7 linked regions of the Nothobranchius furzeri genome follow. The protein of the gene in region 4 interacts with the protein of the main gene of each other region in a pairwise test. Links are inferred from orthologs where the notes say so. Each region holds a gene or a part of one and is shown on either strand. Other genes may lie near its edges. The genes, in order: exoc1, smc2, smc3, traf3ip1, KAT8 regulatory NSL complex subunit 1, snap91a and waca.

Region 1 (3,500 bases), on a different chromosome or scaffold from region 4:
CGGTTGGATTTAAAATGATGACTTTAGTCGTCAATAGCAGTTAATGAGTTAACCAAAAAGGCATCTCTGGATCTGTGTCTTCCTAAAGGCCAACATCCAGTCCATCATGGCATCAGAGAAGCAGGTCAATATCCTGATGCAGCTGCTGGATGAAGCTCTGACAGAGGTGGACACCATTGAGGGAAAGCTGAGCAGCTACGAGGAGATGCTCCAGAGCGTCAAGGATCAGATGGATCAGATCTCCCAGAGCAACCGTCTCATCCAGATCAGCAACACCAACAATAACAAACTGCTGGATGAGATCCAGTTCTTAGTGGTGAGGCGCTATAACACACAGTTGTGTGTGTGTGACACTGAGTCACAGTGTGTTGTTAGATGACTCTGGTTCCTCTCTCCTCCTGTAGAACTACATGGATTTGTCAAAGGGGCACATCAGGGCTCTGCAGGAAGGAGACCTCACCTCCCCTAAAGGGATAGAGGCCTGCATCAATGCTTCTGAAGCTCTGCTGCAGTGCATGAGCGTGGCTCTGCGGCCAGGTATTGAGTAACTTCTGCAGAAATAAATTGACTTTGTAGTTTTTTTTTAGTGTTCAATCAAATGAAAGTGTACGTTACTTCCTTCAGGTCATGAAAAGCTGATGGCTGTGAGGCAGCAGCAGCTTCTGTTTGCTGAGCTGAGAGACACGTTTGCTCGCCGCCTCACCAATCACCTTAACAATGTGTTTGTTCACCAGGTGAGTGCTCAGTCTTGTCCTTTACAACCGTGTTCCTACTCAGGCTGGACAATTTCTTTCATGTGGATTTTCTGTACCTTAACTTAAAAGCAACAACATGTTAAATGCTGCTGTAGCATGACTGGCTGTGGCTGGTCACATGACCTTATGTCATTTTTATCAGCTTTGTTACACAGAAACAACAAAGCTACACAAAATATCAGATATCTGGTTTGACGTGGCTTTTTTTCTGTTTATATACATCAGAGAATAAGCACTATGAAGCTACGGGGACAGAAATCAGACTCAGCTTTTGATCAGCTTGAACAATGAAGACCTATGGTCTCCTGGCTCTTTTTTCTCCTTGTGAGCTTCCTTTTTAGCTGACGCTCTCTTCCTGGGCTTCCTGTGTTATTTTCCTAGCAGCTGTGTCCCTCCCGCTCACGACTTTCCTTGTTGCTCACTTTGAATCATCCCACTCTGCTCTCTGTCTCTGTGTCAGTTCAACCACTTCAGTCATTTCAAAATGACCATCCCTCAGTATTATAGGTCCTCCTGTCTGTCACTTCCAGTGAGTACCCTCACAGCAACCCCCCACCTGGCCTCTTCTCGCTGTTTGATCTCTCACTGCTCACTCAATGAGGCTTCTTCCTCCAGCGTTTTCTAATGCATGAGGTAGATTTCTAACTTCTTAACATCCCTTGTCTGATGAGGAGCTGATGAGGCTGTGTCCATCCTTCGTCTCCTTCACCAGCTGACTCAGCTGAGGGCTTTTCATGTTTGCGTTCTCACATGGCTCACATCACAGAAGGCTGTGCATGTCTTGTACTAAATGAAGTCAAGAACACACGTGCTAGTCCTGTGAGGGAGTAAGGGGAAGCATCAAATCCTCAGAGGTATAAAATCTGTGAGTTTGTGATAAACAGCAAGCTGGAGTGTGTGCATTTCTGGATGAAAATGGATTTTACACTCCTATAACGTGTTGTTCTTCTGACCCTAACGCTTGTTTTTCTGAAGGGTCATGATCAGAGCTCCACCTTACCTCAGCATGCAGCTGAACTCACCCTGCCCAAACACAGCCCCCTCCACAGGGACCTGCTGCGCTACGCCAAGCTCATGGAGTGGCTGAAGAACACCCACAGGGAGAAGTACGAAGGCCTGTCCAGGGTCAGTCTGGTAGTTTTTAAAAATATTTATTTTAAGAAGGAAAATCTGTGGCAAATGTATATGACGTCTGCCAAAAACATCTTACTGCTTTCCTAGTGGTTAAATATGCAAATGTTTGAAAATAGAGATGATATACCAGTGAGCCAAAGCATCAGGCCAGTGTTTACCATTTTTATATCTTACATTAGTCCATATACCTCTTTAGGAGAGCTGATTTTATAACGGACGTGCACAGGCAGCCCGGTGCTGCTGCTAAATGTTATTAAAGGTTCCATATCGTGCTATTTTAAACCTCTGAGAGCAAAGGTAGGCTCAGTTCATGATAAAAGATTACTGTTGGCACTACTGAGGTGTCACTTATTTTAAATACGAGTTATTTCCATCAGTGTGAATTTAAACCAGCAAATAAAACATGTTTCAGTGAAACTCCGCCCACGCCTACTCTGACCAAAGGGCCTACAGACGAGTCTCTTGCCGCGTTGGCTACGGTAGTTCAGAGGTCTGCCTGGCAGCTCGTGTGCTGACGTGGGTTTGAATCCCGGCGGTGTCGGCAGTAATTTATTAAGCAGTTTTTATATTTTAGTTTTATTGATTATTCCGTGAAAAACGAGAGGTATTTTTCATTAAGAAACAAAAATATCACATTCTAAAAAGTTCCAAGAAGTGGATTTTCCATGATATGGCCCTTTAAATGAAAACATCTGCCTACAAATGCTTCGTAACATTATTTTTTACAGACATTTTTTATTTACTCACTTTAAATGTAACATGTGCTCAGTTTATTGATGTAAATACTAAACAGTGCAAACAAACTAAGATTCAGCAGTTGATTAAATGTGGGTTTCGAGCACTGATGGTGGTGACGTTTTAGCATCCAGATAAGGTGGGGATCTGAAGCTGTTATCTTGTGGTGCTGGGACGCCGGTTCAATAATAAAAGCTTCTTGAATCTCGAAACATCTCGATATTTACCATAAAAGTTGGCCTAAAAACGTCACCCGACAGCTGACTATGACCTCTGTAGTTCGACATCGGTATTGACATCATAGAAACTCAAATCGGCTGATCTCTGTTGAATAATGGCAGCTACTTTGTGCTGTCCAGCTGGTATTGTGTGTGTGTTTACGTCGTACATGTGAACAAATATCCTTTCTCCTTTTCAGACCTACGTCGACTACATGAGCAGACTGTATGAGCGAGAAATCAAAGACTTCTTTGAGGTTGCTAAGATAAAGATGGCGGGTACCTCCAAAGAAGCAAAGGGAAAGTTTGGTAAGAGTCCTGCTGTGAAGCACACCTCTGTGATGGAGGTAATGTCGGCGTCTGACTGATAGTTTTCTGCAGGATCATTTCTTTTTGTCTCTAATTTATGTATAGAATATTTATGATGAAAGGGTTAAACAGAGCTTGTCATGTACAGCCTTCCCACAACATATTTAAACAAAATCATAAATGCCTCCCAAGTGTTGAAGCTGTATTTGATGTTTTATCTTTCAATAATGCTCCTCTTCCCTTTGCACCAGACGTTTTATGTCAGATCTATTTATTATCTGAATAGCAGCCTTGGTTAAGCTTTAGTCTTGGCAGAGTCATAGGAGCCTATATTAGCTTTTGTCTCAGA
Region 2 (3,500 bases), on a different chromosome or scaffold from region 4:
GAGGTATGCTATGATGTAAACTGGTACATTATGATGTCACAATGCCGTTGTGAGCCTGTGTGTGTATTGGTTAGTGGCTCCGCCCTCTCTGTCTGCCAGGCAACAGCATTTGTTGCATTTTTCAAACATGAAGAGGGAGTTAAGTAAGTTTCTTGTAGGGGGTGACTTACTCTTTAACTGGCTGTTCAGACAGAGCAGACACAAACGGCTAATCTGACTCATTTCTAGAGATTAAAGCTTTGGAACACAAACAACCTGAGCTGTGTGAAGAACAGACCAGTTTAATCTGGAATAGGGCTGGGACGATAACCAGTAAATCATACGGCAGATGAAAATGAAGTACTCAATTTTTCCAGCCTCATATATCGAGGTTAAGAAAACTATTATTATTATTGAAGTGCAGTTTTGGGTTGCTGACACATTGTATGTACAGGTGCTGGCCAGTAAATTAGAATATCATCAAAAGGTTGAAAATATTTCAGTAATTCCATTCAAAACGTGAAACTTGTACATTATATTCATGCAATGCACACAGACCAATGTATTTCCAATGTTTATTACGTTTAATTTTGATATTTATAGGTGACAACCAATGAAAACATCAAATCTGGTATCTCAGAAAATTAGAATATTCTAAAGGCCAATGAAAAAATGTTTGTTTCTCTAATGTTGGCCAACTGAAAAGAATGAACATGAAAAGAATGTGCATGTATAGCACTCAATACTTAGTCGGGGCTCCTTTTGCCTCAATAACTGCAGTAATGCGGCGTGGCATGGACTCGATCAGTCTGTGGCACTGCTCAGGTGTTATGAGAGCCCAGGTTGCTCTGATAGTCGTCTTCAGCTCCTCTGCATTGTTGGGTCTAGCGTATTGCATCCTCCGCTTCACAATACCCCATAGATTTTCTATGGGGTTAAGGTCAGGCGAGTTTGCTGGCCAATCAAGGACAGGGATACCATGGTCCTTGAACCAGGTGCTGGTGGTTTTGGCACTGTGTGCAGGTGCCAAGTCCTGTTGAAAGGTGAAGTCTGCATCCCCATAAAGTTGGTCAGCAGCAGGAAGCATGAAGTGCTCTAAAACTTCCTGGTAGACGGCTGCATTGACCCTGGACCTCAGGAAACAGAGTGGGCCAACACCGGCAGATGACATGGCACCCCACACCATCACTGACGGTGGAAACTTTACACTGGACCTCATGCAACGTGGATTCTGTGCTTCTCCGCTCTTCCTCCAGACTCTGGGTCCTTGATTTCCAAAGGAAATGCAGAACTTGCTTTCATCAGAAAACATAACTTTGGACCACTCAGCATCAGTCCAGTCCTTTTTGTCCTTGGCCCAGGCGAGACGCTTCTTGCGCTGTTTCTTGTTCAAGAGTGGCTTGACACACGGAATGCGACACCTGAATCCCATGTCTTTCATGAGTCTCCTCGTGGTGGTTCTTGAAGCGCTGACTCCAGCTGCAGTCCACTCTTTGTGGATCTCCCCCACATTTTTGAATGGGTATGTCGTCACAATTCTCTGCAGGGTGCGGTTATCCCTAGAGCTTGTACACTTTTTTCTACCACATTTTTTCCGTCCCTTCGCCTGTCTGTTAATGTGCTTGGACACAGAGCTCTGCGAACAGCCAGCTTCTTTAGCAATCACCTTTTGTGTCTTGCCCTCCTTGTGCAAGGTGTCAATGATTGTCTTTTGGACAGCTGTTAAGTCAGAAGTCTTCCCCATGATTGTGGTGCCGTCAAAACAAGACTGAGGGACCTTTTAAAGGCCTTTGCAGGTGTTTTGAGTAAATCAGCTGATTAGAGTGGCAGCAGGTGTCTTCTATATTCAGCCTTTTCAGAATATTCTAATTTTTTGAGATACCAAAGTTGGAGTTTTCATTAGTTGTCACTTATGAATATCAAATTTAAATGTAATGAACATTGGAAATACATTGGTCTGTGTGCATTGCATGAATATAATGTACAAGTTTCACGTTTTGAATGGAATTACTGAAATATTTTCAACCTTTTGATGATATTCTAATTTACTGGCCAGCACCTGTATTGTTTTGAGAGAAAAAAAAAACGGTCTATTTTCATGTTTTTGGTGCAATATTTTCTAACTGAGTGAAATGGCGATATGATACGTATCGCGATACAGGGGAGACGATACAATATATCACAATATATTGCGATACATTCAGTCAGACGTTATTATTGATTTATTTATTGTAAGAAGATTCAATCAACAGTCCAAACTAATACTTAACGTCTTTAACACGAGGTATCTGAACCATAACAGATTTGTATTTCAACAGTGGAAACTAATCCCATTGCACACCATTGCCCACTGGTGGTCGGTGTTTGAATTGCACCAAAAGAAAAAAAATACACAAACGTTTACATGTCAATTCTTCCAGAAATTTGATAAACGGCTTTAAATATCGATATAATATCGCTGGAAAAAATATCACAACATATTGTCATATCAATATTTTCTTACAGCCCTAATTATTATGATATATTAACATTAAATAAGTTGTTTTGGTCTTGATAATGTCTACAATAATATTGTTAATCGTCAAATTTCTCTTTTGGACAATACAGTAAATCATCAAGCAAAATTTGTTATCGTCCCAGGTCTAATCTGGAGATGTTTCAAGAAGATCCAACCCTAACTTTAAATAAAGCAGGAAGTAGAACATAAAGTTTTAAATAAAATAAAGTAAAAAACATAAGTAACAGCACCAAGTAATAAATTAGAAAGAGTAACAGGATGCTGAACCATTATTAATTTTAATCCTCATGCAGAAATTTCATTTTTGCTTGTTTATCTTATTCAAAAACTTTCACATTTATCTGTGAGACAAAATGTCTACAAAAGCTATCCGTTTTCTAAATAGGATTGCCATCAGGAAGTTGATGACTTATTTCAACATCCTGCTTTGCATTCAGATAAAACCTTGCAGCTAATGGGTGCAGGTTAGCTTGAACAGAAATGTTTGGCTAATGATAGTCAGAATATTTTCATTGTTGAAGTGATCTACTAACAAAAACAACTGAATATGTTCGCAGTCACTGTGGAGTCAGACACACACACACACACACACCTTGTTCTGCGACACGGTGCAGGCCATGCTGTCTATCTGCTCTTGGATGGCCTTCGTGGCCTCGTCTACAGCCTGGATCTGCTGCTCGTAACCCGCCTGCTCCCGCTGCAGCTCCTCCAGCTCCAGAGCCACAGCATCAGACTCCTGAGCAAGAACACAGATCAGAGAATACTCAACATGTATCAAGACACGATGGACACCAGATCCTTCAGATGAGACTTTTTAAATATTCCACCATCACACCTGCTGTTTCTGCTTTAACTTGGTACTGAAGGCATCAGCTTTGGTCTTGGCTGCGTTGAGTTTCTGCTGGGCGGCCTTCAGCTCCTTCTCCCTCTCAGCCTCGGCGTTTCTCATTTTGTTCTCCAGCACCTTGTATTTCTCCTCGGCCCGCTTCTGGACCTCTTTGGT
Region 3 (3,500 bases), on a different chromosome or scaffold from region 4:
TTTAGAAGGCGGTAAACTACATTAATTTCACCACTATAAGTTACGGTGCTCATTCTAAACCTTTTATTAGCCTCTCAACAAACTGAAAGCTAATCTATGATAAGCAGCTGCTGGGGTGAAAATGTGCTTGGAAAGAGTAAAGACTGCAGACTCAGTAATAGTGAAGAGGATGGAGGAGAGGGGAGCGGTGTTGGTGCATCATCACGTGTGGAGCGTGACGCAGATCCGAGGCTTCCGTACCCTCTGTTCGCTGTTGCCTGCCAGCTCATCCTGCAGGTCCTTGGCCTTCAACTCCAGCTTGGTCCTCTGCTTGATCTGCTCTTGGCGCTCTGCTGATAGCTGCTCTCTCTCCTCCTTCATAGCGGAGATTTTGGACTTCAGCTCACGCACAACGCGCTCCGTCTCCTAAAACACGGCAACCAAAAGTTTAAAAGGGACAGGTTTCTTCACAAAACAAGCAGAAAAGAAAACGCCTACAAAGAATTGTGGGAGACATATTTACTTTCCACATAACCAAATACTAACAGCTACATGTAACAAAGTATGTAAATTATTGTAGTTTTATTTTTTATTAATGCTAAAATAATTCAAACTGAGAACCAACTAAATAATCAATAGTTTTACTGAGTAAACAAAAACATGTTTAAAGGACGACTGCTGCAGTTATTTTCCTTATCTTTCCTCCATCAGCTCAAAACTCCACTTATGCATCCTAATATTAATAACAGTGTGAGATTTTTCTCTTTTACCTCCACTTTGTCTCGAGCGTCTTGCTGAGCGTCTCGCAGCTGTCTGGATTTGTCTCCACATGTCTCTCTCTTGCTGGACAACTGGAGAAAACCCAAACAAAACACAAGTCTTAGAATAGAATCAATAAAAGCTAAATCAGTAAGTTCTGTAAACAGTTCCATCACTACCTTGATTCTTTGTTATTTTTTTTAAATAATTTGTCTTTTCTTTGTTCTTGTGAAGCGTCTCAGGAATATGGAGAGGAGCGATTACAGAAATCAGTTCTTCCTCTTCAACGTTTAGCTACTAAAACTTAACTATAACATTAAAGTTCAGTAGATGATATGAATATCTTCTACAATGGAAATGTTGTTTTTGCTCATTTATCATCTTTACAACCCTCTAAAACAGGGGTCACCAACCTAGGTGAAGCTGAGAGCTACTTCACAATTATCGAGCCGTTGGAAGGGCAACCAGGCTGATGCAATAGTGACATTTGAACTAGAACAGATCAGCGTTAAGCTAAACATCATGTTTAATAAATAGACTTTTAAATTTCTATTAATGCATTTGTGATTATAAATGATGGCAGCAGAAGCCATTTGGAGAAAAGGCCTGTGGGCACCTCATCTAGTACCTAGGGGCACCAGGTGGGTGACCCCCGCTCTAAACCACATTACCTCGTCCAGTTTTGCTCGAGTTTCGTTCAGCTCCTGGTTGTAGATGGTGTACTCCAGAGCTCTTCTCATCTTGTCCCACTTCTGATACTGAGCCAGCTCTTCCTTCTCGTCCTCCAGGGTGTGTAGACGTTCCTCGATGTACTTCAACAGCTCGTTGATCTTTTCTCGTTTCCCCTCTGTGGAATACACAAATTAGGGACGTCTTTGGAAATGTTTTTTTAAATGTACTAATGGCATGCTAGCTAACCTTAGGAATTTTATAACAACAACAACAACAATAATAAATGTTCACTGCCGTGCACTTCTGTTATGTGGAACTATAACTAGAATATTAAAAAATAACAACAGACATGTTATCTTGCAATCACAAGACAACAGTATCCATCTTAGAGCTGCAGCTATCGAATATTTTTGTAATCGAGTACTCTATCGAATCTATAATCGATTAATCGAGTACTCTAATAAATTACCCTTTTGCGTTTGTAAACCATTACATATCAAATAGCATGTTATAAAATATGAAAGACCTCTTGAAATGAGAAAGCAATTGCCAGTTATTCTTCAAGTTTTATTCAAAATTCGTTTTCAAAACTTCAGCACTTCAACTTCACAGTAAACAAATGCGAGCGGCTGCGGCCCAAACAGCACCAGAACCGCTCACGGCGCATGCGCGAACATGGCTCGCCAGCTATTTCCCTATTAACACACGTCCGTTTTAATTTCTACACTTTTTTTCTCACACTAACAAGGATTGTCGAGAAAGCATGTTTGCCGTGGTTTTGTCAAATTACGCTGATCACACAACATTTATTTACTTTCTTTCGTTTTCCTCCGCCACTCTCATAAATACCTGTGTCCTCCTGCAGCAATCCCGAGGGACAACGGACATCAGTAACAACACAGTAAAAAGTCAGACGTGTTGTAAAAACTGCTATTTTTAGCACATTTTAAGACCGACGTGTTGCTACCAGATGCACGGTGTGAGCTGAAACTTGAGTGCTACAAAAGAAAAAGTCGCACAGTGTCTGCAGAATATATAGAAATACAGGCTAAAATGCATTATCTTGTAGAGACTCCGAGTCCGCTTGCAGAAGTGACATTTACATGTGGATGTTTCCTGGTCAGGTGCTGCAGCATGGAGGATGTGGTGTTGTGGTAGGCTAAATCCATTTTACAGTATTTAAACTGGACTATGTTTTCTGCCTTACGACGTGAAAAATGGTCGCACACCTTTGACATTTTGTGTCTTTTTCGCACTCCACCAGGGTCCACGTTGTCTGCCATGGCTTAAGAGAAAGTTAAGTTGCGTTCGCTACTCGCGTGTGCATTCAGTGCAGCGTGTATGTGCGTCACTTATTTCGGTCCGGGTGAAACATGACCCCGGGCGATTGCAAAGCCATGAATTAATTAAACATGAATTAAACGAAGCCTCGAGGCAGAGAATTTGACTCGAGGATTTTTTGTAATCGAATTATTCGAGGTACTCGAGGAATCGTTTCAGCCCTAATCCATCTTTCCTAATATCCTATATTTACACCAGAATACATTAATAGCTCAACACTGAGTGTTTATTTATTATGTTTACAAATTTACAATTAATAGAGTGGAGAAAAGTGAATGCATCAAATAAATAAACAAGCTTTTGGTTGATTTTTACCCGTCTCCTTCATTAGAGAAATGCTCTCCTCCTTTCGTTCGTCATACACTCGAGTTCCTGCGACCTCCCTGAGGAGCTTCAGACGCTGGGAGTCAGGTGCTGTGGCCATTTGGTTGATCTGCAAGAAACACAGAAATAATGCAATGAAAATGAAAAATTGTTCCTGTTATACTCCTAACACATTCATGCCAGAATATCACACAACTCATTTTTTCAATTTAAAGGTTAATTTTATTTTTGGACAGCTGGTATGATTTTAATGTGACAAACCAAGACATAATTACTAGGGCTGTAGCGAAGCCTCGACGAAGTCGACGGCTCGATTCTAAAAATTTGTCGACGTCAGATCCGGAAGTCGACGCACCGCGCCCACTTGTTGCATCCCCAGGAGTTTGTAAATAGAGGAGGAATCTGCCTGTTTTTCCTCTAGTTCG
Region 4 (3,500 bases):
ATCACAGTCAGGGTGGTCAGCGAGGATGGGATGATGGGGAGATCACGCTTCAGCGGCGGGACCACCCAAAGCAGACGGCACATGCCACCTCACACCAAAGAGTTCAGACCAAACTGGGAACGGTTTCACGTCCAAATACTGATGAGAGTTCTCTCTCTGGCTTCAAGAGAGGAACCCATACACCGTCTTCATCAATAAGATCTGATCTGTTGTTACATAAAAACAAAAGCTGATCAGATGTAAATAAAAAGCTGCATTAGAGTAGAGAAGGTTAAATAAATAAATCAAAGATCCAGAAACATGTTCCCATGTTTTCCTAATTGTGCAGAAACTTAAAAACGCCTCAAATGTGTTGAGCAAGCGGTGAAAAGCGAGCGTGTTCTGCCCCAGACATCTAGATGTACGTATTAATTGCGTGTGGTCCATTAGGGGCCATGCATGCTTGTCTGGTTATTCGGCCCTCAGCTCCGGTGAAAAGGGACATTCTTGTGGTTTGGAGGCTGTAATTACACGTCTCCACTCCGTCTGTTTACATCTTTCTTGTGATAAAAGCCAGCGTGGCAGCGGGGCTGGGGTAAAGTGCTCCCTGGGATCAAACTTCCACACCTGGCCTTGGGTCACCGGCACCAAGCCTGGTGTTAGCCAGCGCTGCCCTCTAGTGGACTAAACCACTCATCCCTTACCTTTTCTGCTGGTTTAGAGGAAGACTCTGATGGTTCATAGTTTTTCTGGGTCTCGAGGATCTTCTTCACGAGTCCACCTGCGACAGGAAACACAGTAAAGATGTTTTCCTACGAGCAGCCAGGAACCGTTCACCAGGATAGACAAAGAAGGAGAAAGTAAGAAGACGTGTTTGTGTTCACCGTGGTTCTCACGGTCCAGTTCCCGCGCAGGTTCCTGCAGTGGAGATGAAACAAGATCAAAACTATTTTTATCCCATCATCCCTGATCCCATCGGCGTCACTTACTGTTACAGGAACATCTGAGGGTAGGGGGACTGCTTCCTCCACCAGGAACTGTTCGTCTTCATCTTCCTCATCCTCCGACAGTGCCTTCCCGTCCATGATGACGGGGGCCGGGGTCTTGGCACTTGATAACCTTAAAAAAGAAGAAAGTTCTCGGTGAAACTTGGCAGACTCGCTGCACCAACCGGTTTATAATCACTCTCACTCAGGCCGGACTTTTACTAAACGAATGATGATGTCACCTCTCGGTCGGGGTCACGTCTGTGTGGCTCTCCTGTCTCTTGACCCGACGAGGTGCGGGGCGTGCGCTGCTCGGACGTGCTGCTTGTCTGGAGAACCGAGGGAGAACACATGAACGCCATCTAACAGCTGCTAAATACGTTTTACTACCCATTACCTCCCCAGTTTATCTAGAACACTGTTAGGGGTCAGGTTTACCAGATGCGTGGGTTTTTAACAGCCACACTGCACGGCTTTAAAGGAGTGGTTCACTTGTTTAATCTATACATCTGCAGTGGTCTCTAGTAGGAATGAATGCCTTGTAAGCCGTTCTCTGGGGGAAAATATACCGGCGGACCACTTCTAGGACCTACGAGTGACCAACATCACAGCTGAGCTTCAGACAGCGGCCTTTGGAGTCTTATTTCCTGATATTTGGACATCTCTCCTCTGATTGGCTAACAGCAACACGACTCTACCACCGACTGCTCTGAGAGTTGATGTTTTATCTCCACAAATAACACAAGCCTGGAGGAGTTTTGTTATGTGGTGGAGTTGCTAATGCTAACGGTTAGCTTAAACTAGCCGTGAGTCCATGGCCGTTTCTCGTTATGCATACTTGTCTGTACTTGTTCTGCATACTTGTCTGTACTTGTGTACTCGCATCATCAGTGACAGCTCAAGGACGGCTCCAATCCTAACGCATCATGGCGAGGGCGCGCAGAGTTCCCAGGTATGTTTGTGCACCCTCCCCTGTATAGAGAATGCATCAATGCATCCTTCTGCGGACTCGGGACAGCAGTTTCCCATAATGCACTGCGTCGTAAACCGTCCGAACTTCAGAGGAGAAATCTAATAACTGTAGAGTTTCACATCGGGGATACTAATGAAAGAATATGAAATTGTCTGTTCATTGAAATAATTGTGTGTAACCTGTAAAATGTGCTGTGTGTGCTGGAGTTTCACTTTTCACGATCCCTCAAAATGCTAATTAGCTAACCTGCTATCAACATAAAAGCAGAGTTGCTCTGTTTTGATGAAGATTTATTTATTTTTATTAATCTAATAGTGGGAAATGCTGGTAATTTATCAGTTTTGATCAAAAGTGGACCCAACATAACACAAATAGGAGAATAATGCTGCGCAGGACGACCAGCAGCCTAAGCGGTCCGATCATTACCGACCAGTCAGAAGAAGACGTTTTTAGTTTTTTATCCAAACTGTAAAAAGCAGCAGGATCAGGGAAAGTCAGTTTTCTATAATAACAATAAAGGGCAACAGAGTGCAAAGTCATGACTACAACATAATTATTTCTAATGACATCAGAAACAACCTTGGTCTCCAGACAGGTACAGTAACAGGTGCTGACCCCACACACCTGGAGACCGCATCCAGCTGAGCCGAGGAACCACCGTTCTCCTGAGGAACGTCTTTCTGGGCTACATGAACGTCTCCATCTGTGGATCACAAACTTCTTAGCACTTTTCTTTTACTGGTGTTAACCTCAAACAGTCCTGTGATGTCATCACTCAGCCACTGTGATGTCATCACTCAGCCACTGTGATGTCATCACTCAGCCACTGTGATGTCATCACTCAGCCACTGTGATGTCATCACTCAGCCACTGTGATGTCATCACTCAGCCACTGTGATGTCATCACTCAGCCACGTTTTGGTGTCACAAACAGAACAAATCCTTTTAAATTAAGGCTTCTTTAGGGAGATCTAGCCGACAGCTGCAAGCTATAAATGTTCTGGTGTCCAAAAGTGACGGAAGACGTTTACCTCCTTCGCTGTCGGAGTCGTCTGTAGAGAGAAATAAAGAGAGAACGTTGTCACAAAGTAACGCAGCATCTCAAATCTGAAGCATGAAGAGAAGATTCATTAACAGTTTATTCTGATCAGATTCACGAAGCTTGTGCCGACACACGGGGACGCCATTAAAGGAAGAAGTCCATGACTCCAACAGTAGAAGGAAAACACAGACTTAACCGTGTTCAGTTTCCAGGAAGGCATCTTTAAAACAACGTTTCAAGTGTGGGAAGGTGTTAGGAATTACCTTGACCTCCGATCTTGGGCCTCCTCCTCTGCCCTTTGGCAGACGATGGCCGAGGTATTCTGGTTGGATTTTCAAACTGAAAAACAAGAACCGACAGAATTATTTTTGATCATAGCCTGTCCTGCTTTAGGCAGCGTGTGTCGTATTTCATCACGACGCACGGCCTCCAGCTAGGACAGCAGCAGAAAACTAACAACATACAAAACCACCCAAAAAAGGATGAAAGGTGGAACCATGAGGTGTCTAAAAACAGGAAA
Region 5 (4,242 bases), on a different chromosome or scaffold from region 4:
ATGGTGATATTCTAATGAGTGGATTAATCAGGATTATAAGCACTTCACTTGAGTCTCCTTCCCTCAGGAGACGGGACAAGACGGATCCAGGTCTCTGATGTGACCCTAAACAGGATCCAGATCAACCACCACCACAGCTGCAGTCTGACCACATGAAGGAGAGCTACAGCACATGGTACCAATCATTAAACATCAAACCTGCAGCTCAATTAACCTCTCAGACTGGTACTATTTATGGAAAATATAAGCTAGAACACATTGTTTACTCACACGATACCTGGAATAAATACATGGAACTAAAGCTTTTGTTCAAGTGTTTATCTTGTTTTTAAAAAAACGGCAGTTCATCACTTCCTGTGTTGAAGGTTCGTCTAAGGAAGGAGATGATTCAGTTGCCTGTCAACATGTCTTCTTAAAATGTGAGAAAATAAATCGCATGGGAAAGGTCTGAGTAGGAACAAGCGCTATCGTCTGATGGTAGAAGTGATGCTAGTTACATCACAGGGAAAAAGCTACAAATGTGTGCTAGGACGTCTCAGGTATTCAGACAGCTGAAATGACTTAATGACGTTTAACTCCACCCATCCAGCTTTGTGTCTGCTTCCAGAGTGTTCCATGTGTTACTCCTGATGGAACCCAAGGTGTTCCCCAAACTTCCTGTGGTTTAGTTTTCCATCTGAGCTGCCTTAAATCTCTCCAAACGGATATCAGTTTAATAGCTTGAATCAATGAGACAACGGTGTACTGGGTTCTGGAGGCCCAGAGAGGTTATTTTGGCCACATCTTCTCCACAATGTCCGCAGGAATTCAGGGACGGCAACTGGAGAAGACGATCCTTGACCTCAGGTAAAAATAAGAGGGCTAAAACATTAATGCACTCAAGGAATACCTTTAGCTCCATTGATGAAATGCTCCACTTGGTAGTCCAATACGCCATGAATCCAGATACAACACAAAAATCCTAAAAAAAATAAATAAATAAAAAAGTTAGTAAAACAGATAATCAAAAACATCTTATTTCATAATAATTAATAATAGTAATAAATAATAAAGGTAAAGACAAGCCTTCACAGCGGTCACAATCTACTGTCTCCAGGAAATATTCCAAACTAAGCTTCTTGATGACAAATTAAACCGAGTTAAAAATGCTTTGGCACAACTCAAAGGCCCTGAAATAAACCACCAGGCTGTACCGACCACAGCAGACACCTTCATTAGTTTTATAGCAAATAGTTAAGGATGTTGTCTGGCGTGTTACACCTAACTAAACCAACAGTTCTGAGTTCACTGGCCCCAGGTTGGGAACAACTGACTTGTTGTATTTGTTCCTCAAGAGAGGAATTATTTCACCAACATAAAAGGAAAGTTATAAACTACATGTTTAGGACTATCATTTTTAAATCAGTCATTCAGTGATTCATTCATTTAAACCATTTCATTATTATTATTATTATATGTGTAATTTAAAATAGGAAAAAAAGCCTTTGATTCAACATGATCAAAAATAGAGAAGCTGCATAAATACCTAAGTTGGTGAAGGCAGAACATACACAGTTTAATATTTTTTATCCTGGTTTTGACCGAATTTCCACGATTTCCAACCTGACCACTAGATGTCAGCACCTGCTCCAGTGCTCAATCAAGACTCACATCAATTCTGCTACTGTAAAAGTAGAATTTGTAATTAAAACGCGTTCTTAAACACGTAAATAATAATGATGAACGCCAGATGCAGCAAATGTGTTAGGAAATGACAGAGAAATAACTTCCACAACAACCAGTGGAGCTCTGATTACTGTGTCAGTTTTGTATCTGAATCTGAGCTGTTTTTGCAGTTGAAACTGAATCTGAACATGTTTTTAGTCGTTTTCGGCTCCCTGTTTCAGTCTGAACCTAAAACTGTTGTTGTTCGTTTGCTTTACTTGTTTCTCTCAGACCCAGTCTGAATGTGTTCGTTACAGCGCCCCCTGTGGGATCACGGTGTAACACCAGCGTTGGTTGCTTTCATAGACAGTGGTGGTAAATCAATTTTTTATAACTTACATCAACTAAAAAAATTTACAATTAAATTAGTGCAACAGTACAGTTTACTCTATGTCTTGTATTGTGGTTATTTATTTAATGTTATGGTCCAATAAATTTTTGGTTTAGTTTATTTTTTAATGTTTCATTAAACTGAACGAAATGATGCACGGTGATTAATTTTAAACATTTCATTTATGAATAATTATTCACGTGGCCAACTAATGGTTAAAGTTGTGACTTTACATCAGAAGCTTCCAGCACAGGTAACTTTTAAACTGTTGTTGAGTATTCCGATATTTTCAGCTGACGAGCTAAAGCTAGCGAGCTAACCACATTAACGTTACAAATTTATGAAAACTAAAAGTTTTACATGCTGACCAACACCAACACAGAGGGTGGAAATATGATGGTAATATGTCAAGAAATGTATCTTTAAAGAGTAGAGAGTAACGGAACGAATTACCTGTGATTTTTGATGATACATTTAAGCTCAGTCAAAAAGACTATGAAAAGCTAACGTTACAGATGCTAATACGCGTTAGCTTGTTTGCTTCCCGATGTACCAGAATTCTCAATGACTGCAATTTAATTTATACGTTTAACATAAAATTCAACAGTAAAAAATAATCAAACTTAAATAAAACAACCGCGCGTTTAACTAGAAGAGAGTTTTTCCTGACAAGCAAACTGTTCGTTGTTTTTAAAAAAATAACGAGTATCTTACTTACCTGCTTGTCCTGTTACAAACCACCAATAAGCCCCGCCTTCTGCGCTGCGATTGGTTGACGGTTTATTTTCAGACTTTCTATTGGTTCCGGCAGCTGTCAGTCTTAGCAAATGCCCGTACAGCGGAAATGTATATGAAAGTTCATATCACGAAACTTAATTGTCTAAAATTGTTTTAATTTAAGAATTACAGCCCGAGTCTCACAACTCCCGTGTCTTTACCGGCCGACTGCTTTTCATTTGCCCTGGTCACTGTGTTGTTCCATCGCAGACATGCTAGCTGCTCCCAGCCCAGCTGATGTTTTCACTCAGAACTACACTCTTCGTTGTGTTGCTGTTTTAGAGACTTGGCTCAGAATTGGGCTCAAGGCTTCATATCAGATAAACAGAGACCACGCTTTTCGCAACTCACGAGTTTAATCAACACGTTTCGTTTCATCCAGTTCATCGCATCTTAGCCCATCGTCCTGCTGGGCTGAGATTCGGCCGGTCTGGGAGCTGTCCCCCTAAAGCAGGCCACGAGACACAAATGGCACCAGTTGTTCACTGGAGGACAGTTTTGGCTAAATGTTGTCCTGCACACGTTAAACCAAGAGCCAGAGGATGGACAGGAACTCATCAGACCTGCAGTGGTACTTCTGGGGAAGACCAGAACTAACTTAGTTATGAAGTCTGCTGGCTTGTTTACAAAATTACAATGAATGGAACACGAACTTAAGTCAAAACAACAAACATTGATGATGATAATGATGATGATTATTACCGTATTAATATTATTATTATTGGTTTATGACACAGTACCTGAAGGTCTAAAAACTGAGGGAGGAACAGTTCTGAAACTTAATGAATCTCACCTGCAGGTGAAGGATACCTGGAGGTAAAAAAAACATTGACATTGGAAGGAATATTGTAGCTGATCTCCAAAGGAACTTTCATTATTCTGGATTTGGTTTCAACAGACCTGTAACAATTTCTTTCTAAAGGTGGAAACTACTGGTTTTGGTCTAAGTCCTGGAGCTGTGGAACAAGTGGTACAAATGCCAAAATCCTTGTGGAAACTGGGTTACTGAACACAGAAATAAATAAACTTCTTTCATGATTTTATTTAAACATGCATAAAACCATTTTAAACAGCAGTCTCAGCTGCTCACACTAGCGTAGTTCAAGATCAAACAAAAATAACAAATTGATAACAAACACTGCAATGCTTCTGAAGAAGTTTCTTGTGACCTGGAGGAAACGATCTTCTCTAGAGTCAGTGATGAGACCTCCATAGTTTCTCATGACAAAAACTCAAGATAGGACAAAATCACCTTCCTTCTCATCAGCGTCTACATCCACCAGGACCAGCCATCATAGAGGGAGGTGTTTTCTCGCTCCATCACTGCAGCTCTCCTAAAACCGATTTTAGTCAAAAGAAACTTTTCCAGATTTTAGGACCATTTTATCCTGTTCAAAGGAAGTTTTTCTTTCCCCTGTTGCCTTTCTTAC
Region 6 (3,500 bases), on a different chromosome or scaffold from region 4:
GACGGGTCCCTACCACAGCCATAGCCTTGAGGTACCCAGGGTGAATCTTGTCAACCCCTAGAGCTCTGCCACTGCGTAGATTCTGGACCACCTCAGTGACTTCTGCTCCAGAGAGAGAATATTGTTTTAGTAAATATATGTTTTCGTAAAGTCAAGGCATGAGATCACAATTTTAATTTAACAATGACGCAACAAGGATTTTGTCCACCCTTCATTGTTTAAACTCCTTCTGGATCTAAGCGTTTCACTTGTGACAGAGTTGTTAATGTGGATCCTTGTCTTCAGGCTGCCACTGCTCCAGGAGCTCCAGGATCAGCTCCACCTGCTGCAGCTATGGTACCAGCGCAGCCTGGCTTCGGCATGGTGAGCACATCTGTTTGGTTAAAGAGCATTTATAAACAAAGACAGTAATTACAAACCACTAAAATATCATTCTGACTTAGATCTACCTGTGTTGAATGAAGTTTTAAATCTGAAATTTTTTATTGAATAACTCCTTTAATAAATACAGAGGAGTGGAGGGGGGTTCATACTATTCCGTCCCAATCTAATGAGATTTTCTGATCTTCTCAGTCCCCTGCAGGAGGACCTGGGGCCCCAATGATCCCCCCTATGATGGGGCAGCCTTTGATGAGCCAGTCCATGATAAGACCTCCATTTACAGGCGTGACTGGAGCTGCACCTGGAGCACCGGTAACTCAAAACACATACTGTAACATGCTCACACACTGGTGATTACAGGGGCTTGAACAGAATGGTTGCTGCCACTGCCATCCCAGGTTAACATTTCTCTACATTTTGTTTAAATTTGAAAGTCCATCATCTCCTCTCTGCTCCCTTACTGGTTTTATCTGCTAAGGAAAATGTCACAATGAGCAGGTTTCAAGCCCTTGCAGACCCCACATTGATAGTCTCAACCCACTTCAGACTGTGTGCGTGCATGGGTGTGTGTTCAGTCACGCCACTCAACAATGGAAGGAAAAGAACTGTGTGGCTTAATAACTGAGACATTTTATAGAATCGAACAGATTAGACTATCATTCCCATGGAGGGGAAATTCACTTAGGGTACAGAAGTGCTACAACAGCACATACACTTAGAGAAAAAGGAAGACAAAAGATAATAACAACTTCTGTCTGTTCATTCTGTGTATTTGTCAACTTGCATTGCCATAGTAATTAGCTGAAACGTTAGCGATGCATGATAATTACAAAGTTACACACAAAAGTAGTGAGATAATAACCTTCAACCACAAAAAACTACAAATAAAAAGTAAACTTGGGTTTCCAGAACTATACAACAGAGGTGTGGACTCGAGTCACATGACTTGGACTTTGGTCAGGCTCGAGTCATTATTTTAACGCCTTCTGACTTGACTTGATAAAATCAATAAAGACTTATGACTTGACTCTGACTGGAATGCCAATGACTTGCGACTTGAATCGACTTACATCTGTTGACTTGATGATGACTTGAGCATATTTGATATTTTAACACAAAAGTGGCACGACATGGACAAAATTCATAAATCATTCTTTGTTCTGGGTTTGATCTTGAACTGCTGAATTCAGCAGCACTTTGTTTATAATCAGTTTCAGTTGCACTTTCTGCTTGTTTGAGCAAATAAATGAAGCTTTAAGAAGCTTTATTTCTGGAATGTATTTATTATCATTGTCATTAAACTGAAGTTGGACAGATGACTTGAATATGACTTGACTTGGACTTCCACATTATTAAGTTTGGACTCGGCTTGGACTTGGTTGTCTTTGACTTGGACTTGATTCAAGACTTGACTAGATAGTCTTGTGACTTACTTGTGACTTGCAAAGCAGTGACTTGGTCACACCTCTGTTATTACAGCATAAGGGACATAGGCGTATTAATGTAAAGCCGGTAATGAACACATACTGAATGCTGCATAGATGTTATTGTGTACCAGGATAATGCCAGCACCAGTTAAACTGAGGAGTTATACGCTCTTACTGCAGAGGGGATGAATGACCTACGGCAGCGTGCTGTTTTACATCTGGGATGTCTCAGTCTGCCTCTGAAGGAGCTGTCCGTGGCTTCCACAGTGGAATGCAGTGTAGGTGGGAGGGTTTTCCAAGATGGAAGTCATCTTCCCCAGCACCCTCCTTTTACACATCTCCTTAACTGAAACTAGTTGGCACCCAGAACCAAGCTGGCTTTTTTAACTAGATTGTTCAGTCTCTTTCTGCCTCAGTCGGAGCTGCCTGAGCCCTTACAGGGTTATTCAGAAAGTCTTTCTTTGGTACCAGTACTTACTGAATATTTTTGATGAGAGAGGTATTGACTTTTTGCACCTGTCACCAGATCATAAGGGTCCACCATATTGGATGGCAAATGCATAGTAAACAGCGGGCATGGGTAAGCCCAGTTCAGTTATTGTACACACCTAGGTGGGGCAACAGTGAATTACAGGAGTGTTGAACGGAGGGAAAGGTAGTGCCTAAGGTTTTTATTTTTTTGCCAGTTTAACCTGGTTTCTTCTGGTTCAAGCCCAGTTCCCTTGTGGGAAGAGTTAGCACACCTAGGTTGGTAGAGAGCAGTATTTACAAAAGTTAAATGTTAGCTAGCTTATGAACGTTAGCATACGTTCTCCTTGCTGCCACTCACCTATGTAAACAAGTTGCCAACTTTGCCAGATTTCATCCCGCTGGATTTATAAAATTGTGTCAGCAACAGCATTTTACTTTGCACTGGAGCGGATTAAAAACAAACTAAAAAATCCGGATCCATACCAGATTTTGTCGCTGGTGGGGTCACCAGGTTCAACTACTACTCACACCGGGGTGAGACAACACTCATCATGCTAAATAAATCATTTTAATTTTCACACAAGTAATCCTACATTGAAACAATATTATTATAATAAATAATTATCACTATAATAAAAGTTCAGTAGATGACAGCAATGCACATCCTCCATGGTGAAAAATAGAATTATCAATATATAAACATCACATTTGTCACTTCCGGTCCATCACAGTCAGTCCCTGTCTTCCTCATGAAATATACGAACATTAATTTTACCCATTAAACCATGTTCACTGCAAATCTGAAAATACTTTGACGGCTATTATCCATGCAGTTAATTCCTGTTTTCAGTCTCCATCAAAGTTATTTAGAAAAAGACAAGTTGGGTCTTGTCTGTGAGTGTAGTCAACCGCACAACAGACTAGTACATCTTTACTGTGAAATCAACTAAATAAAAGCAATAAAAAGTAACAAACTGGCTTGTTTTGACTAGCTTGAATGAAGTGTCAACCTGTGTAAACAGTCGTTCTACCGTCCATAATGGCTAAGGGGGTCATGAACAGCTTGACGTCACGTGTGATGAGTCAATATCGTTTCGGTACCCATCCCTACTTCTGACTGAGCCAGGACATTTTGTGTCATTTATTTTACACATCCAGGATTTTTTCCCAAGTTGGGTTAGGTGGGGAAGCGTATGGCTTGCAGAAGACTTGAGCTAATGC
Region 7 (3,978 bases), on a different chromosome or scaffold from region 4:
AGTACTCTGTTACGAGCGATTCTGTTGAACAAGTGAAGAGTTAGGAAGGCGTGGGTTACGGTGACAGAAGCCTGAAAATAATACTCATAAAACAGCAACCAGAGTCTCTGAGTCATTGCAGTATAATCGCTGATATGAGCCAATACTGTTAGACTGCAGCCATGTTTGCCCTGATAACTATTAACTCCATGGTGCATGACCCATGTGATCTTCAGTAGATGCAATTACATCATCATAAATTTAGTTTAACATGATAGATGTTTTTTCTCTGGGCAAGAAGTATACAATATGGCCCACCTCTAGAAGAAATTGAAATTATTTTATATCAATTATAAATATATAATTAAAAAGTGCCTCTGGGACATTTGATACACCTCTAGCTCTCAACTGTGTGTGTGCACGCGCGTGTGTGTGTGTTAACAGACCGCTGCACCAGAGAATAGGCACTACGGTTAAAGTTTGACAAGAATCAACACATTTTTATGCATTTAATATACTGATGTATGTTTATAATTTCTCAAGACAGCTTGAAGTGAGTTAACTTGTAAATACTTTACAGGAGGAAAACTACTGAGATATATTTATATGGGAATTCAGCAAAAATATATTGAGATATAAGTTTTGGTCCATATTGCCCAGCCTTAGCATCCACTGGTTCCACCAACACAGGCATTTATCATTACACAAGTCTCCTCTGCTTCCAGTCAGCTCATGGGTCAAAAATGATGCAAGAGAATGGAGCTATAGTAAACATAGACACACACACACACACCCAGATGCTGGACCTAACTGTGGCTCACGCTACAGCACACACATCTTTAGATGACAAGCTAACTACACCTGGATAGCATGCTGCTAAAGTAAACACAGCCAAACCATCATGCCCTTAAAAAATCCTCCTCGTCTTGAGAAAAGAAAGATTGCTTCTCTACAACCAGTTTCACAATCTTGAAAATTCATCATTTTAAAAATTCAAACACTTTCCAGGCTTTCAAGCCGCGGTGAAAGCCGTGTATATTTAACATGATTTGCTCTTTACACTTGACTGACCAGGCAGCATGTGGTAAACTTAGTGAACATTTAGTTATGTGGCGTACTGGTGATACTCATCTAGTTATCTGCATTAACCAGGACCTTACCTCCGTCCCGGTCTCTGACCCGGTGTGTGTGGACAGCCTTGGCTCTGCTGTGTCCTGTGCTCTCCACGTGTTTGTTCTCAGGGCTGTCAGACCTCCTGAGCATTTTGCAGGGAGGAGTGACATCAGAGGAGTCTTGCGTCTTTTCGTGTCGATGGTCCCCTCCTGGATGGCTCTTGGATGAGTACTTAAGAGTCTGTAAACACAAAACAAACATGTCAGGGAACTGTAGTAATCGCAGCTGGTTTACATCAGAGGAACTTCCATAATGCGTGTTATTACAAATGTACACGACCAAAGGATTTAAACTGAGTCACGTTTAGCTTGTGTTATTACAAATACACAATTTCATGGCAGAGGGGGGAAATGAGGAAGAGCACAAGGACTAAACATTGCTTCATTCCACTATGAGAAACCAGATTCCTTCCATTTGATTTTTCTCTGTGCGCTCCCTCTGAAACACCTCGTTTGTAAATGAGGACATTTACCTGCTAAAATCACGCGTCAAGAGCAGAACCTCCAGTCATTAAGAACATCAGACTGTTTCATTACCATTAAGACACCTGCCTCTTGAGTGAACATCAACCCTAATATCTCCTTTATGACGCCAGCTTCAGTAAAGTTGATAAAGATCCAACAGAACGCAATTTTATTGAGCTCACCTTGATTAATGAGAGTTAGAGGTAGTCTCACTAACCTGGCATAGAGAGGCGCTCATAAACCAACATAGTTACGTACAACCAGGCTTTTAAAAGGCCAGGCAACACTTCAGGAGACACGTCCTGATTAGTCTTCGCTTCAGTGTCATGTTTATTCTACGTGTACAGCCTCAGGCCATAAACTAGTCGCATTTTGCTGCTTACATCCTTAAAATGACTGATTTTCGGCGGCGCCCTAATCGGAATAGCGAGCAATCAGGCTATCAGCTAACATTAGCTTTGATCCGCAGTAAAAGTCTTTCTGTCGTGTCAAAGCAGCGTTATTCGACGGCCCTGTGTACGCGTACGTTACGTGGGCCCCAAAATAGACGCGTTGCGTGTGTTTTCTGTGTTTAAATTGTGATTTTAAGCGAGACTCCTACTTTTCGTGTTATTTTCCGCACCGAGGCCTGCACACCACAGAAGCCTGAGCTAGAGTGTCCATTTTAATCTTTTTTGCTGCTAGCATGCTAACAGCCTTGGGTGTCCAAACAAGTACCTGATAGGGCTGAGAATCTCTTCGGTCGCACCTGCAGACAGAAAGTAAACAGTTGTGAATGTGTTACATCAAATATCGGCACTGAAAATGTGTTTTCCAGTGGAGCAACAGCTGAACGCTCAAGTTTCTAGTCACTTAATTTGGCTTTCAGTAAAAATGGCGGATTGTGAAAGCGCAGTAGCTACGAGGAAAAAGAAAATAAGTAACGTTAAAATGATGTTTACCCATCGCCGAGTCTCGGTTGTTTCCTTGCATACATTACCATCAATGCCGTGTTAGTGTGTTTAGAGTGGGATGTGAAAGACTGATAATGACACTGTTTTTGTTGTTGATGTAGCAATAAAAATCGTCTGTTATTTCAGCCTAGCTTGTGGGTATAGCAATGCTATCGGGAACAGGTCTAGAGAGCACCCTCACTCAGTCCATCTCCCACTCTCACGCAGCCGACTAGCTAGCGATCAAAACGCAGCAGTAGCTCTTGCTGGGTTGCCAGATACTTGAGCAAGGATTCTGTATTCATACATGTACTAGTTAAGTGTAGAATCTTTTTGACATTTTTATAGATGTAAAAATAGATCAAATGCTACTAAACACTACTAAATTAAATCAGATTTAACAAAAAACATTTTTAAGCCAGAGCGTGAATTATATAAGACAAAAATATTTTATTGCCCCATGGAAAAGGATATTAATTACTTATTAATACAGTTTTATATAACTTGTTATTTAAAGGGGGCTTGTTTACGGAAAACATGTATTAAATACAAACTTGGCAACCTTATTGCGACGTCATTACGTAGACGCCTCATTGGAAGCTGGAGAGCGTAAAAGCGTGGCTGCCATGTTGGGTGGGTTCCTCACTCTCCAGAGCATAGCTGTAATCAACGTAGGGTGGGCAACTATGGCCGTTTTTGGTGCAGCCTGTTGGGGTTTTACATTTTTATGTATTACATTTATTTATAGTTATATTTTAACTATCACTATAACTATGTTTGATTTTGTAAAAAAAAAAAAACATAAAATGTGTTTTGGTTAGGAAACACCTTCCTCAGCAAAAGTAAATGCACCTGTTCCTGAAAATAACGGAACAGGTGAGAGAGCAAAAGTTTTGCTTTGGAAGAGGGTTCTGAAAAACTCCAAAAAGAACCATTCCTATAGAGGTCCTCAAAGGTGGTGTAGGAGTCAAATGTGTTTTATGTCTGCATACCTGAGAGGAGGCTTGGCCTCAGCTGATTGGTTGATTTGATTGTGGAAGCACCAGCCTACTTAAACCAATTCAGATCAGACTCAGATGTTGCTGAAATGGGACAAACAGTTTTTTTTACTGTGTAGTGAGGACAATGGCTGTGTGTAATGGACTCTGCGGACAGCCATTGGGGCAAGTAACGCATTCATTGTAAACCACTTTAATTGCGAGTAAATGGATCATGGACATTTTGGAAGAAGACGAACTAATAAACATCATCGGAAATAAACACAAGCTGCAATTCTTTTAAACACACGTAAAGACCACCACCCGCATCAGTAACCAGTAGTGCCACTGAATAGGGCATTGGCGCAACACTTCAGGTGGTAATTTCCTTGATGGGGATATATAACATCAGTGAGACCAGGAGGAAATAAATTATTTAGAGTGATGGGCATG

Evidence for each region.
Region 1: the proteins of traf3ip1 (region 4) and exoc1 interact in a two-hybrid assay, tested with the Homo sapiens proteins (2 studies listed by BioGRID and IntAct). The link is inferred for Nothobranchius furzeri from reciprocal best matches to the Homo sapiens genes TRAF3IP1 and EXOC1.
Region 2: the proteins of traf3ip1 (region 4) and smc2 interact in a two-hybrid assay, tested with the Homo sapiens proteins (2 studies listed by BioGRID and IntAct). The link is inferred for Nothobranchius furzeri from reciprocal best matches to the Homo sapiens genes TRAF3IP1 and SMC2.
Region 3: the proteins of traf3ip1 (region 4) and smc3 interact in a two-hybrid assay, tested with the Homo sapiens proteins (2 studies listed by BioGRID and IntAct). The link is inferred for Nothobranchius furzeri from reciprocal best matches to the Homo sapiens genes TRAF3IP1 and SMC3.
Region 5: the proteins of traf3ip1 (region 4) and KAT8 regulatory NSL complex subunit 1 interact in a two-hybrid assay, tested with the Homo sapiens proteins (2 studies listed by IntAct). The link is inferred for Nothobranchius furzeri from reciprocal best matches to the Homo sapiens genes TRAF3IP1 and KANSL1.
Region 6: the proteins of traf3ip1 (region 4) and snap91a interact in a two-hybrid assay, tested with the Homo sapiens proteins (2 studies listed by BioGRID and IntAct). The link is inferred for Nothobranchius furzeri from reciprocal best matches to the Homo sapiens genes TRAF3IP1 and SNAP91.
Region 7: the proteins of traf3ip1 (region 4) and waca interact in a two-hybrid assay, tested with the Homo sapiens proteins (2 studies listed by BioGRID and IntAct). The link is inferred for Nothobranchius furzeri from reciprocal best matches to the Homo sapiens genes TRAF3IP1 and WAC.

The regions. Positions count from the first base shown.
Region 1 is NC_091748.1:40,504,423-40,507,922, forward strand, and holds part of exoc1 (exocyst complex component 1), read left to right. Parts: intron 1-88; coding exon 89-316; intron 317-404; coding exon 405-537; intron 538-624; coding exon 625-734; intron 735-1,730; coding exon 1,731-1,880; intron 1,881-3,042; coding exon 3,043-3,151; intron 3,152-3,500.
Region 2 is NC_091747.1:76,184,972-76,188,471, reverse strand, and holds part of smc2 (structural maintenance of chromosomes protein 2), read right to left. Parts: coding exon 3,333-3,500; intron 3,234-3,332; coding exon 3,090-3,233; intron 1-3,089. UniProt on the Homo sapiens protein: Central component of the condensin complex, a complex required for conversion of interphase chromatin into mitotic-like condense chromosomes.
Region 3 is NC_091744.1:4,686,321-4,689,820, forward strand, and holds part of smc3 (structural maintenance of chromosomes protein 3), read right to left. Parts: intron 3,185-3,500; coding exon 3,067-3,184; intron 1,586-3,066; coding exon 1,410-1,585; intron 831-1,409; coding exon 750-830; intron 406-749; coding exon 241-405; intron 1-240. UniProt on the Homo sapiens protein: Central component of cohesin, a complex required for chromosome cohesion during the cell cycle. The cohesin complex may form a large proteinaceous ring within which sister chromatids can be trapped.
Region 4 is NC_091754.1:2,492,623-2,496,122, forward strand, and holds part of traf3ip1 (TRAF3-interacting protein 1), read right to left. Parts: intron 3,320-3,500; coding exon 3,244-3,319; intron 2,991-3,243; coding exon 2,970-2,990; intron 2,642-2,969; coding exon 2,518-2,641; intron 1,295-2,517; coding exon 1,208-1,294; intron 1,099-1,207; coding exon 969-1,098; intron 898-968; coding exon 864-897; intron 761-863; coding exon 684-760; intron 1-683.
Region 5 is NC_091756.1:53,988,067-53,992,308, forward strand, and holds the start of KAT8 regulatory NSL complex subunit 1, read right to left. Parts: upstream 2,801-4,242; 5' UTR 2,754-2,800; intron 962-2,753; 5' UTR 890-961; intron 1-889. UniProt on the Homo sapiens protein: Non-catalytic component of the NSL histone acetyltransferase complex, a multiprotein complex that mediates histone H4 acetylation at 'Lys-5'- and 'Lys-8' (H4K5ac and H4K8ac) at transcription start sites and promotes transcription initiation.
Region 6 is NC_091745.1:52,417,704-52,421,203, forward strand, and holds part of snap91a (clathrin coat assembly protein AP180), read left to right. Parts: intron 1-285; coding exon 286-363; intron 364-573; coding exon 574-693; intron 694-3,500. UniProt on the Homo sapiens protein: Adaptins are components of the adapter complexes which link clathrin to receptors in coated vesicles. Clathrin-associated protein complexes are believed to interact with the cytoplasmic tails of membrane proteins, leading to their selection and concentration.
Region 7 is NC_091747.1:30,792,142-30,796,119, forward strand, and holds the start of waca (WW domain-containing adapter protein with coiled-coil), read right to left. Parts: upstream 2,801-3,978; 5' UTR 2,599-2,800; coding exon 2,558-2,598; intron 2,365-2,557; coding exon 2,334-2,364; intron 1,333-2,333; coding exon 1,140-1,332; intron 1-1,139.